Linked DNA regions of Drosophila melanogaster. The protein of the gene in region 1 interacts with the protein of each later gene in a pairwise test. Each region holds a gene or a part of one and is shown in the gene's direction. Other genes may lie near its edges. The genes, in order: Spt7 and Sf3b3.

The links.
Region 2: the proteins of Spt7 (region 1) and Sf3b3 interact in a two-hybrid assay, tested with the Drosophila melanogaster proteins (one study listed by BioGRID).

The regions. Positions count from the first base shown.
Region 1 is NC_004354.4:17,848,792-17,852,648, forward strand, and holds Spt7 (Spt7), read left to right. Parts: upstream 1-1,668; 5' UTR 1,669-1,749; coding exon 1,750-1,892; intron 1,893-1,953; coding exon 1,954-2,056; intron 2,057-2,116; coding exon 2,117-2,950; 3' UTR 2,951-3,096; downstream 3,097-3,857. Other genes in the region: CG15814 (uncharacterized protein), read right to left, coding at 28-263, 326-554, 623-919, 985-1,019, 1,117-1,164; CG32554 (uncharacterized protein), read right to left, coding at 3,097-3,816. UniProt on the Drosophila melanogaster protein: Component of the transcription regulatory complex SAGA, a multiprotein complex that activates transcription by remodeling chromatin and mediating histone acetylation and deubiquitination. The SAGA complex predominantly acetylates histone H3.
Region 2 is NT_037436.4:827,340-835,444, reverse strand, and holds the start of Sf3b3 (splicing factor 3b subunit 3), read left to right. Parts: upstream 1-2,059; 5' UTR 2,060-2,185; intron 2,186-2,235; exon of another isoform or gene 2,236-2,383; intron 2,384-2,469; 5' UTR 2,470-2,504; coding exon 2,505-2,730; intron 2,731-2,805; exon of another isoform or gene 2,806-2,958; intron 2,959-3,037; coding exon 3,038-3,403; intron 3,404-3,436; exon of another isoform or gene 3,437-3,575; intron 3,576-3,654; coding exon 3,655-4,129; intron 4,130-4,202; coding exon 4,203-4,537; intron 4,538-4,716; coding exon of another isoform or gene 4,717-4,724; exon of another isoform or gene 4,725-4,823; intron 4,824-4,933; exon of another isoform or gene 4,934-5,008; intron 5,009-5,103; coding exon 5,104-5,411; intron 5,412-5,452; exon of another isoform or gene 5,453-5,593; coding exon 5,594-7,567; 3' UTR 7,568-7,568; intron 7,569-7,601; exon of another isoform or gene 7,602-7,681; intron 7,682-7,747; 3' UTR 7,748-7,799; intron 7,800-7,824; exon of another isoform or gene 7,825-7,908; intron 7,909-7,975; 3' UTR 7,976-8,022; intron 8,023-8,061; exon of another isoform or gene 8,062-8,105. Other genes in the region: CG42553 (uncharacterized protein), read right to left, coding at 1-58, 115-666, 727-1,053, 1,110-1,268. UniProt on the Drosophila melanogaster protein: Involved in pre-mRNA splicing as a component of the splicing factor SF3B complex, a constituent of the spliceosome. SF3B complex is required for 'A' complex assembly formed by the stable binding of U2 snRNP to the branchpoint sequence (BPS) in pre-mRNA.

The DNA.
Region 1 (3,857 bases):
TCAAACGGATGGCTCTGAATGGCTTACGGATTGCGGAACATCTTCTGGAGATCGACCTTTTCCTTGCAGTAGGGACACGTCTGCTTCTTGCCCACAATGCACCAACCACGTATACAGAACTCGTGGAATACGTGGTTACAAGACAACTTGTAGGTGTTCTCAATGACGCCCTCTTCCTTCTCCGAGACCAGCAACTGATTGCCACACACTGCGCAGACATTCTGATCAAGATGTCGTGTTGGAATACCCTGAGGTGTGTAGTACTGTGGGACAAACGGGAGGGTTAGAAGATTCCAACTGGGTATCTGGCCAATGGTCAACTCACGCCAATAGCTGCCGCCATCTTATCCGAACATATCTCGGATATATCACGCCCCAGGACGCCGATGTACAGGCCGTAGAAGCAGAACATCAGGCCCACATCCATCCATGTGTTTGGTGGCTGTGAGAACATGTAATTCATGCCCAGAAAGGCGGCTATGATCACCAGATAGCCCACCAGGCCAAGGCCATAGCTGAGCTTGTAGATGAAGTAGAACCACTTGTAGACCAGCCTGAAATTGGATTTTATGGGTTATTATCTGGCCTTCGTCGGTCGCCGTTCTTATCTACGTTGACTCACCTAGGCGTTGTGCCCTGGATGGGCTTGCTGATGGCCCGTCGCATAACCAGTGCCGTGATGCAGGTGAACACCAGCCAGATGATTATGAAGCGCAGCCAGCCGAAGCTGCAGGAGATGATCAGCGGAATGAGCCACATGGCCAGCAGGGTGACGAAAGCGTAGGATCTGTAGTGCCGCTTCTTCCACTCGACCAGGATGATCTGGGCAATAACCAGGGTGACGAACAGAATGATCACCATCTCGGAGTGCATGGCATCGTGGCCGCGATGTTTCTCCACCATCAGTTGATGCTGCGCTCTGTTCGATTGGATAGCCGAAAATTTGTTATGATTTAAAGGATTTTCTAAGGCCACTTCACTTACCGCATTCGCTCCTCCGGCGTCATTTCGTCCAGGGACTGATGGACATCCGCATTAGCAGGGAATTGCAGGGAAGAGGGAAAATTTGGCAGTAGAGTGGGGCTTCCTATTCGATTCCCATTAGAAAAGACTCACCTTGTTCAAGTCCACGGGCTCATGCAGGTCCATGTGCTCCTGGTGCATCTTATTGCCGTTGTATCCGCCGTATCCCGCTGCCGCCAATCCGCCGGACAGTCCCACTCGTCGTCTGCGTCGCTGCGTTATCTTGCCCACCACGTATTGCGATCGGTTTTTACCTTTGAAATTCGTGAAACGAAAACAAATAATTACATTTTATGCCTGTGTGCTTGTCCAGCTGCAGTGGCGTTGCCATTTGTCACAGCGGCCGAAAAAACGAATACATGTATGTGTGACGTGAGCCACAAAAATACAAGCGCGACCTGATTGTTAGAACCAGCTGTCCTGAGTATGGGGTTTTTCCCAAATTGTTGCTATTTTATCATAACCTTTATTTACTTTAGCTACGACAGCGCTTTCTGATTATCGAAAACGAAACGTTCGAGGCCAACGTTGCCAGATGCCGCTGCAGGCCGTGCCGATGTTTACCGACAATCAGCTGTTTGGTTCAATGAGTTGAGTATTTCGTTCCCAGCGCAAGCAAACTTATCGATAGTCCCGATAACCAACCATGTTATTTTAGGGCCCGATAAGTAAACAACAATATATTGTTAAGTAAATGTTGTACGTAGGTTTTTAAGCGAAATAAACATGCAAACAGAGCACTGGGGCTCGCTGCCCGCAGAGGATGACGGCGGTCAACTGACGCCGGACAAATACGTGCCCACGGCGGCCAAGAAACTTAAGCTGGACGAGATTCGCCAGCGCGGAGATCCGCAACCGCAAGAAAAGCAGTAAATAAATCTAAAGAAAAGCTTTAACGCAGCCGGTAAACTAACCATATATTCCATGTAGCCACAAGTTGGAGCTGAGGAGTGCGCTGGTCACCCAGACCATCGAGGTGATGAAGCAAACCGAGGTGCTGCAGTCCCTCATTGAAACGTACTCCAACAAAAATGCAAGTTCTTGGTTCTTGTTTAACCGTAGTATTTACCTAATTTACCCAATGAATTCATAGGGAAGTTCCAATTACCTCTTGAATCCGTGCCTAATGATACCGGAAGTGGACTTTCCGCCGGAGAACGCAGCCGAACTGGTGGGCAGCCAAAAGTTTCAGAAGCCCATTTGGTTCACACCAACCGTGGACACAGCCTACTCTCGCGGGGATCCGGAGGCATATCCGGAGATCCCCAGCTCTGCTTGCCGCCAGGCGATGCGCAAGGTGATGTGCGGCATGCTGCGCCTGGCCGGCTTCACCGACTGTTCCGAGTCGGCGGTGCAACTGCTGACGGACGCCACCGAGGAGTTCCTGCGCAGCTTTATCGGCGAGTATCGCGGCTACTATGACAGTCAGCCGCGGCTGCAGAATTCCACGGTGCTGCAGCTGGTCCCACTGGAGCGCGCCCATTTCGCCCAAACGGGCACCTCGCTCACCCAGGTGCACAACTACTACAAGCACAAGGTGCTGGCCAGGAATCGCGCGGAGATCGCTGAGTTCAACAGCGTACTGCAGGAGTACGACAAACTGATGAAGGAGAGCCAGAGCAGCATGCAGAAGCAGCACAACGAGTTCAACGGCCACGACTTTCTCAACATCCTGGACAACAGCGCCACAGGCAGCAGCCAGAGCATAGGCGGCATGGCCATGGGCGATATGCTGCAGGATCTGGGCGGTAGCACGGGCTCCAGTGGCACAGTCAGCTCCCAGCAGATGCTGTACGGCCTGCTCGATGGCCAGATATCGTCCAATACCTCCAACATGACGGGGACGAGCGGCAATGGCAGCACGGGCGGCAATGGAAATGGCAATGGGGCCACGATTAGCAACTTTCACGCCACTTTTGAAACGTAATTGTTAAAATTGCGGGGATAACTTCATTATCTCACACTGAGATATCTCTAGCAATCAAATGTTTCACACTTTTTATAGAACGACTAAGATCTCTAGGCTCAAGTTAAGTTAAGCTCTAAGGAAACGTACTAATTAAATAGTTTTTATTACGTGTTTTGTTTATTGCTCATCTTTTTGCTAATCCTCGACTCGTTCCAGTTGTTTTGTCGCCTCCGCTTGGTGAACTCGTTGGTGGGTTCAATGGCCACAAGTTTGGTTGCATTCGGATCGCTGGCTCTGTACTGGAACACTTTGTCGTGGCGCGTCTTTTTCTGGGCCCACGCCAGCAGGTCCCTGCCTTCCAGTATGGAGTTGCCAGTGACCACCACAGAGTCCAGAGCTTCGGGCGCGGATTGGTCTTCTTCGGGGGTCCGTCTCCTTATGTTAGGTTTCTTTTTCGGACCTGCAGGACCTTCCACCACCAAATCGGCGATCAAATAGCAATCGGCATTGGACACGAGCTTGACTTTGTCGGGTGGGGGCTTCTGTTTGCCTACGCCATTGGGTACATCCAGAGAGAACTCGATTTGCTCCTGGATTATGCCGCTCAGTCTGCGCCAAATGTGCGTTTGCATCTCCTGCGAGATCTGCAGATCGCTGGCAGGCGCGTCCTGATCCTCCACGTAGCGTTCACTTTTTACCGGCTGTGCTTCGTCCTTCCTAGTGGCCAACGGTTGCTCCTCGTTGGCTACTTCATGCGCCTCCTCTTTTGGCTGCGATTGATACATGGCATTTGTGAGCAACGTGGTGTCCGCCGCCTCCAGGAACTGGCGCATCTGGGCGTCGTCCTCGGAATCAGAGTCGCTATCCCTTGATTTAACTGGCATTTTTTGTACGCTCTTTGAATATTTATTTATTTACATTTAAT
Region 2 (8,105 bases), on another chromosome or scaffold:
CCTGCTTACCTTCGGTAAGTGCAACTGAAGCGTGTACAAAAACAGGCACATTGATACCCTGTAAAGCACAGACATTAAAGACAGGACAAAATCACATTTTCCATTCATGCATACCTGCATCTTAGCTGATCTCACAAAGGCCTTATTCGAAGTCACAGTGAAAATTTGCCTGGCCATGCCGAAACTAAAGATTTTCAGACTTCGCTCGTTTACGTTGGCAGTGAAACGTATGTGGGAGAATTCTTCGGGTATTGTTTCCACATCCGGATAAACGGTGACCCGTTTCATCAGTTCCTCGGCTCGCTTCCGTTCGCCCTCGCCGCCTACAATATCCAAAATACTCTGGAAGGCATCGTAGGCTAACTGGCAGCAGACCAAGGTTTTTCCCTCTAGGATTTTCTCGAGGAGCGGTTTTAGCGGCGAGGCTCTTTCCCTTTCCGCCTGTTCGGTGAGCAGAGGTTCCTTGTAGACCCAATTGGCGGATCCGTTGGTGAGCGCACTAACGTAGGCCAGCAATGTGGTCACATCTAGATTCAGTTCGTTCGACGTCGTGGCGTACATATCCAAGTCGGTGTCTGGTGAGTCCAGGGAAGCAGTTTGTACGCCCATTTCCATTAGCTCTTCATGCAGGGAGTCCTCGATTTTGTTGGAGAAGTAGAATACTATCTAAAAGGCAGTATATCAGATGATGAATGCTGTCTAGGGTAGCATACTATTAGGCATTACCTTCGGCCTCTGGAACATGCAGAAACTAAGTTCGCTGGCCTCCAGATAATCCTCCGCCTGGTCGATGACACTTCGGGCTCCGATGCTGACACATCCCCTGGCCGCGTCCTCGACGGACTTCGAGTTCCTGGCTATCACCTTCACCCACTTGAGTCCATTGTTGGCCACGATGTCGACTCTCAGGGGACTATCCCTAGACTCCAGGCGGAATACGGCATTGATGTCGACTACTCCTTGTTGCAAACGCAGAGTTTTAATGAGAAAATCGTAGTAAACAAAGTTACTGCTGGTTATGTGGTGTTCCTTTACGGACCTTGTAGTAATCACCTTGAAGGAAAATGCTTTTACTCAATGTTTTTATCATGAAAAATAGGCAAACAAACCTTATTTAGAAATTTGAGCTCTTGCTGAATTTTTCGCTGTACTTTGCTGACACCAGGCAAATCTTCGAAGTCTTTCAGCGCTTTCTTCAGCTCCTCGCCCAGTTTTACTTTCTTGTGGGCTTCTTCGTAGAGCTTTTCTCGATCCTCTTGCTCCTCCATATTAAAACGTTAGCAATATTTACAAAAATCACGAAATATTTGTTTTTAGCTGTCAGCTGTTTTGAAGAAGCAAAGATGCAATGACATTTCAGGTTTTACAACACTGACAATTCCATGACTGATTAGAGATGTCGCGAATCTGAAGTTGGTATATCGATAGTCAACAAACCTAGTTTACTAAGTAATAATTGATGATTTTTCTAATTAGTCTAATAACATGAGCCAACGCCGCGTAAAAATATACTCAAGTAGAGATCGAATAAACAGAAAAAAATAGTTGGGGACTGATCTATTTATTTTTTTTAAATACCTTTAAAGTTTTCTCCTTAATCATACCTTAATAGCATAGTATTGAGCCCAGCCCTTTAGCCACAATTCGGTGAGTGGTTTTGTTTTCATTTAAGCCCATGATAAAAATTTTTTAAGTTAAAGAAAGATAAAACGATTGATCCAGTACATATTTTTACAGATCCTTGAAATTTTCCATTTTTTCACAGAAAATTGCATATTATATGTTTAGCTTTTGAGGCAGTTTTTGGTATGTGGAACTGGGATTGGCCCATGGCAATTTCCGAATATTTAAATGTGGTATATTTAATAAAGGATAAATTCGATATATCTTGACCAGGATTTTTAGGAAACTTATGATTTCTGCAGCAACAATTTCCAGTAAAATAATTATTTAATTTATAATCAGTCTGAACCGGGCCTATTATCGATAGGAAAATCGACGGCCGCGCACTATCGATAAGTCAAGCCACATTTTATGCACCACCATTTTTACTTTTATAGTTCTTTTACTTTTTGTCGGCGAACAGAGCAGATGTGAAAATGAAGAGTTCTGAGTAATCAGGAAAATTCGAATCCAAAGGCATCGCTGGTGAAATGTGCTAATTCATCCATTTAACCAGCCGAAGGTAAACAAATACACGTGCTAGCACTGATATCTACTATTATTTAAGCGCTTTCCGCACGAAGTATCTCCAGAAATCAGAAATGTCTGTGCTTTGGTCGCATTTGAAGCGTGCTAAACTAAGAATTAAATGCTGCTTACTAGCATCGTTAGGCGACACGACTTTCCATACTGTGGCCATGGTTTTCAAAGTAGTACAAATTCACAAAAAAAAAAATACACCGCCATTCACGTGACTTTTTCCCTTGTCTGCAACTGTACCTAACCTCAACATTGCTTCTCTTGCAGTCGTGGACAAAAGTGAAAGAGTGTAGTGCTCCACCATGTATCTGTACAACCTGACCCTGCAGAAGGCCACCGGCGTGACCCACGCGGTCCACGGCAACTTCTCCGGCGGCAAGCAGCAGGAGGTCCTCCTGTCGCGTGGCAAGTCGCTGGAGCTACTGCGTCCGGACTCCAACACCGGCAAGGTGCACACCCTGCTCTCCACGGAGATATTCGGATGCGTTCGCGCCCTGATGGCCTTTCGACTGACGGGCGGCACTAAAGGTGAGTCTTTCAATTGTAATTTAGTTTTGTACCATCAATTGGGAGTAATGTATTGCTCCTATATAATCTATGTAAGTCGCACAAATCCCTATTGAGGCAACAGACGGCTAGTTGACCCCAGTAAGACCTTTGAACGCGTCTAAGTGCGAGAGAAACCGAAAGACTTGACGTCGCATTTGCCATAAACCAACTCAACGGAGTGGCGAATTGAAACTTCGAGTTACAAAGTCAATAAAATATCATTATAGTCATTAGAAAGTGTTAAATGTATGACCCTAATCTCGAATATCGTTACCTTGCTTTGCAGATTACATAGTTGTGGGCTCGGACTCGGGACGCATCGTGATCCTCGAGTACAATCCCTCCAAGAATGCTCTTGAAAAAGTGCACCAGGAGACGTTCGGAAAGTCGGGATGTCGCAGGATTGTGCCTGGGCAATACTTTGCCATCGATCCTAAAGGAAGAGCCGTGATGATTGGCGCCGTGGAGAAGCAAAAGCTGGCCTACATCATGAACCGGGACACGCAGGCTCGCCTCACGATCTCATCGCCCCTGGAGGCCCACAAATCGAATACACTGACATACCACATGGTCGGCGTGGATGTGGGCTTCGATAATCCCATGTTCGCCTGCCTAGAGATCGACTACGAAGAGGCCGACATGGATCCATCGGGTAAGCATCAACTAGGTGGCGTGTAGACCCTAGAAGGCGCTTTAATTCACAGGTTTAGTGGATCCACACCACGAACACTGACTGTACTTAGTGCCAGATAAATCGTGATCACTGAACCATTGGTGTTGCTGTAATTGCCTAGCCACACTTCACTGATTTGTGACCCACACTTCCTAATCTCAATTGATAACATTTTGATAGTACAATGCTATAGTCCTGTAACTAATCAGTGTCGCATCTATTTGTTCCAGGTGACGCCGCCCAGCGCACTCAGCAAACGCTGACTTTCTACGAGTTGGATCTCGGCTTAAACCACGTGGTTCGCAAATACTCGGAGCCCTTGGAAGAGCACGCCAATTTCTTGGTATCCGTGCCTGGGGGCAACGATGGTCCTTCGGGCGTGCTGATCTGCTCGGAGAACTACCTAACGTACAAGAATCTCGGCGATCAGCACGATATCCGCTGTCCCATTCCGCGCAGGAGAAACGATCTGGATGATCCCGAACGTGGTATGATCTTCATCTGCTCGGCCACACATCGCACCAAGAGCATGTACTTCTTCCTGCTGCAGACCGAGCAGGGAGACATCTTTAAGATCACCCTGGAAACGGACGATGATGTGGTCTCCGAGATCAAGCTAAAGTACTTCGATACAGTGCCGCCGGCAACTGCCATGTGCGTGCTAAAGACGGGTTTCCTGTTCGTGGCCAGCGAGTTTGGCAACCAGTGAGTATCTACAAATCATTCATTTGAGAATAATATGAATGGGTACTAATTGAGGTATTTGTGTAACCCTCAGCTATCTATATCAAATCGCTCATCTGGGTGACGACGATGACGAGCCGGAGTTCAGTTCGGCCATGCCTTTGGAGGAGGGTGAAACCTTCTTCTTTGCGCCACGTGCCCTAAAGAACCTGGTGCTTGTGGATGAACTGCCCTCTTTCGCACCGATCATCACCTCCCAGGTGGCTGATCTGGCCAACGAGGACACACCGCAACTGTACGTTCTTTGCGGACGAGGACCGCGTTCCACTCTGCGGGTGCTGCGCCACGGCCTCGAGGTGTCCGAGATGGCCGTTTCCGAACTGCCTGGTAATCCCAATGCGGTTTGGACTGTGAAGAAACGAGCTGATGGTGAGTGTGTCTGCGGGCATTAATCATGATTCCTAAGCTAAGATTAGACTAAGACTGAAACGTGGCTAATAACTCAACTGGTGCATTGATACAGATCGAGATATAGATTACACCTAGCTTTACGCACGATTCCAAACAAGTCCCACAAGTTATCAACCACCAGTTCTCTCTTATTTCAGGCGCTTAAACACAGACGGCAATATGTGTGAACTATCGAAAAAGACAAGCGATTAAAGAGAATTTCTCTCGTTTGTGTAATTTTAAATTGTCTTTTGTGAAGCGATAGGTAAGGCAACATTTACTGCAGCTCATAAGTCAAACAGATACTACAACTACCACTGCTACTATACCAATGAAAACAGAACAAAAGCTAACTATATTTAAGCCAGTCGGACATTGAACATGATGCGATATTTATCAACCGTGTTTCAGCTGAATTATCCATTGATTACAACTTGATAAACTGATTATTCAATGTCTTGTGTGATACGCAGATCTTTTTCGCTTGCTCGATTCAAACTGAAGTACTCACGTTCCAAGTATTGTTTTGCTCCCCTATTTTTTAGACGAGTTTGATGCCTATATCATCGTGTCCTTCGTGAATGCCACCCTGGTTTTGAGCATTGGCGAAACCGTCGAGGAAGTCACGGACAGCGGTTTCCTGGGCACCACGCCCACGCTCTGTTGTGCCGCCCTGGGCGATGATGCGCTGGTTCAGGTTTACCCCGATGGCATTCGACATATCCGATCCGACAAGCGTGTGAACGAGTGGAAGGCTCCGGGCAAGAAGTCCATTACCAAGTGCGCCGTGAATCAGCGCCAGGTGGTCATCACCTTGTCGGGCAGGGAGTTGGTCTACTTCGAAATGGATCCGGTAAGCAATTCTACTACTATATTACACTCAACTGTTGACTTCTTGCTCTGATGACAAAAACACGAAAAGAACAATCATGTTGAGACACTATGTGTCCTGCAGTGCTGAGCTTCAAAATCAACCAAAAGCCTTATCCTCGTTTACTTAACTTCACAACTAATGAATACATTTTATGCTTGCAGACTGGGGAGCTGAACGAGTACACGGAACGTTCCGAGATGCCTGCTGAGATTATGTGCATGGCCTTGGGAACTGTTCCGGAGGGCGAGCAGAGATCCTGGTTCTTGGCCGTCGGCCTGGCGGATAATACAGTGCGCATCTTATCGCTGGATCCCAACAACTGTCTCACTCCCTGCTCCATGCAGGCCCTGCCTTCGCCAGCCGAATCCCTTTGCCTGGTCGAAATGGGTCACACGGAGAGCACGACTCAGGGAGGTTTGGATGACGATGCTCCCGCTCAGCGCAGTGGCAACAATAAGGGAACCATTTACCTAAACATTGGCTTGAGCAACGGTGTCCTGCTGAGAACTGTGCTCGATCCTGTTTCCGGAGATTTGGCAGACACCCGAACGAGATATTTGGGTTCCCGACCCGTAAAGCTCTTCCGGATCAAGATGCAGGGATCCGAAGCGGTGCTGGCCATGTCCAGTCGAACCTGGCTGTCGTACTACCACCAAAATCGATTCCATTTGACGCCTCTGTCTTATGAAACCCTTGAGTATGCTTCTGGCTTCTCGAGCGAGCAGTGCAGCGAAGGTATCGTGGCTATATCCACCAACACCTTGAGGATCTTGGCCCTGGAGAAACTGGGAGCCGTCTTCAATCAAGTAGCGTTCCCCTTGCAGTACACTCCACGTACCTTTGTAATCCATCCGGATACGGGACGCATGCTAATTGCCGAAACCGATCACAACGCCTACACAGAGGATACGAAGAGTGCCCGAAAGGAGCAAATGGCGGAGGAGATGCGCAGTGCAGCTGGCGATGAGGAAAGGGAGTTGGCCCGCGAAATGGCCAATGCTTTCATCAACGAAGTCCTTCCCGAGGACGTGTTTTCGTCGCCCAAAGCAGGACTGGGTCTTTGGGCCTCGCAAATCCGTTGCCTGGACGCAATGCATGGTCAGACGATGTTTAGTGTGCCGCTCACCCAAAACGAGGCCATTATGTCGATGGCCATGCTGAAGTTCTCCATAGCGGCTGATGGCCGGTACTACCTGGCCGTGGGAATCGCCAAGGATCTGCAGCTGAATCCCAGGATTTCGCAAGGCGGCTGCATAGATATCTACAAAATAGATCCCACTTGCTCCAGTCTGGAATTCATGCACCGCACGGACATTGACGAGATTCCTGGAGCCCTGTGTGGCTTCCAGGGTCGTCTACTAGCTGGCTGCGGTCGAATGTTGCGAATCTACGATTTCGGCAAGAAGAAAATGCTGCGCAAATGCGAGAACAAGCACATTCCCTATCAGATTGTCAATATCCAAGCCATGGGTCATCGTGTTTACGTGTCGGATGTTCAGGAATCAGTATTTTTCATACGCTATCGTCGCGCGGAGAACCAGCTGATTATATTTGCCGATGACACGCATCCTCGATGGGTGACGGCCACCACCTTGCTGGACTATGATACCATAGCCATAGCCGATAAGTTTGGCAACCTGAGCATTCAGCGATTGCCCCACTCCGTAACGGACGATGTGGACGAGGATCCAACGGGCACCAAGTCTCTGTGGGATCGTGGCCTGCTGTCAGGTGCTTCACAGAAGTCGGAGAACATTTGCTCCTTCCATGTGGGCGAGATAATCATGTCGCTGCAGAAGGCAACGCTAATTCCTGGAGGATCGGAAGCCCTTATATACGCCACGCTAAGTGGCACTGTTGGAGCATTTGTTCCGTTCACCAGTCGCGAGGACTACGACTTCTTCCAACATCTGGAGATGCACATGCGCAATGAGAATCCTCCACTCTGTGGACGCGACCATCTCAGCTACAGGAGCTCGTATTATCCGGTCAAAAACGTACTCGACGGCGATCTCTGCGAGCAGTATCTGTCCATTGAGGCAGCCAAGCAGAAGAGCATAGCTGGCGACATGTTCCGCACTCCCAATCAGATCTGCAAGAAACTGGAGGATATTCGCACGCGATACGCCTTCTAAGGTGAGTTGGAATCGATATGCCTATGGGACATAGGTTTTTGTGATGACATAGCTATTTTACCTTGGGACACCTATGAAATGCCTTGATTAGCGTAAACGTCAATATCTGATAAATACTTTGCTGAATTTAGTCTTTTATGATTATTGAACAGAAAGCTAACAATTGTTTATATTTTGCAGATGCCAGCAAAGGAACACTTCAATATCATGGAAACTTTTCTTTTTTAACTAGGTAAGTTGGTTTCTATTTATAGTTGTTTTCAATGATGATTTTCGAGTTTTACCTTGGGACACCTATGAAATGCCTTGATTAGTGTAAAGTTATGTTTTTCTGATAACAAATTCAAGCGTTTATTGATTGAAAAGCAAAGAAATGTTATTAATTTTGTATTTCTCTTTCTATTGCAGTTTTCGTGGGCAAAACCAACAAACGCTGCACCTAAAACGTTTTAAAGGTAAGAAATTGTAACGATTAAGCCACATTTTCGTTGAGTTAAACAATGATGTTATTTTACATATGTTAGACTAATGAAATGAT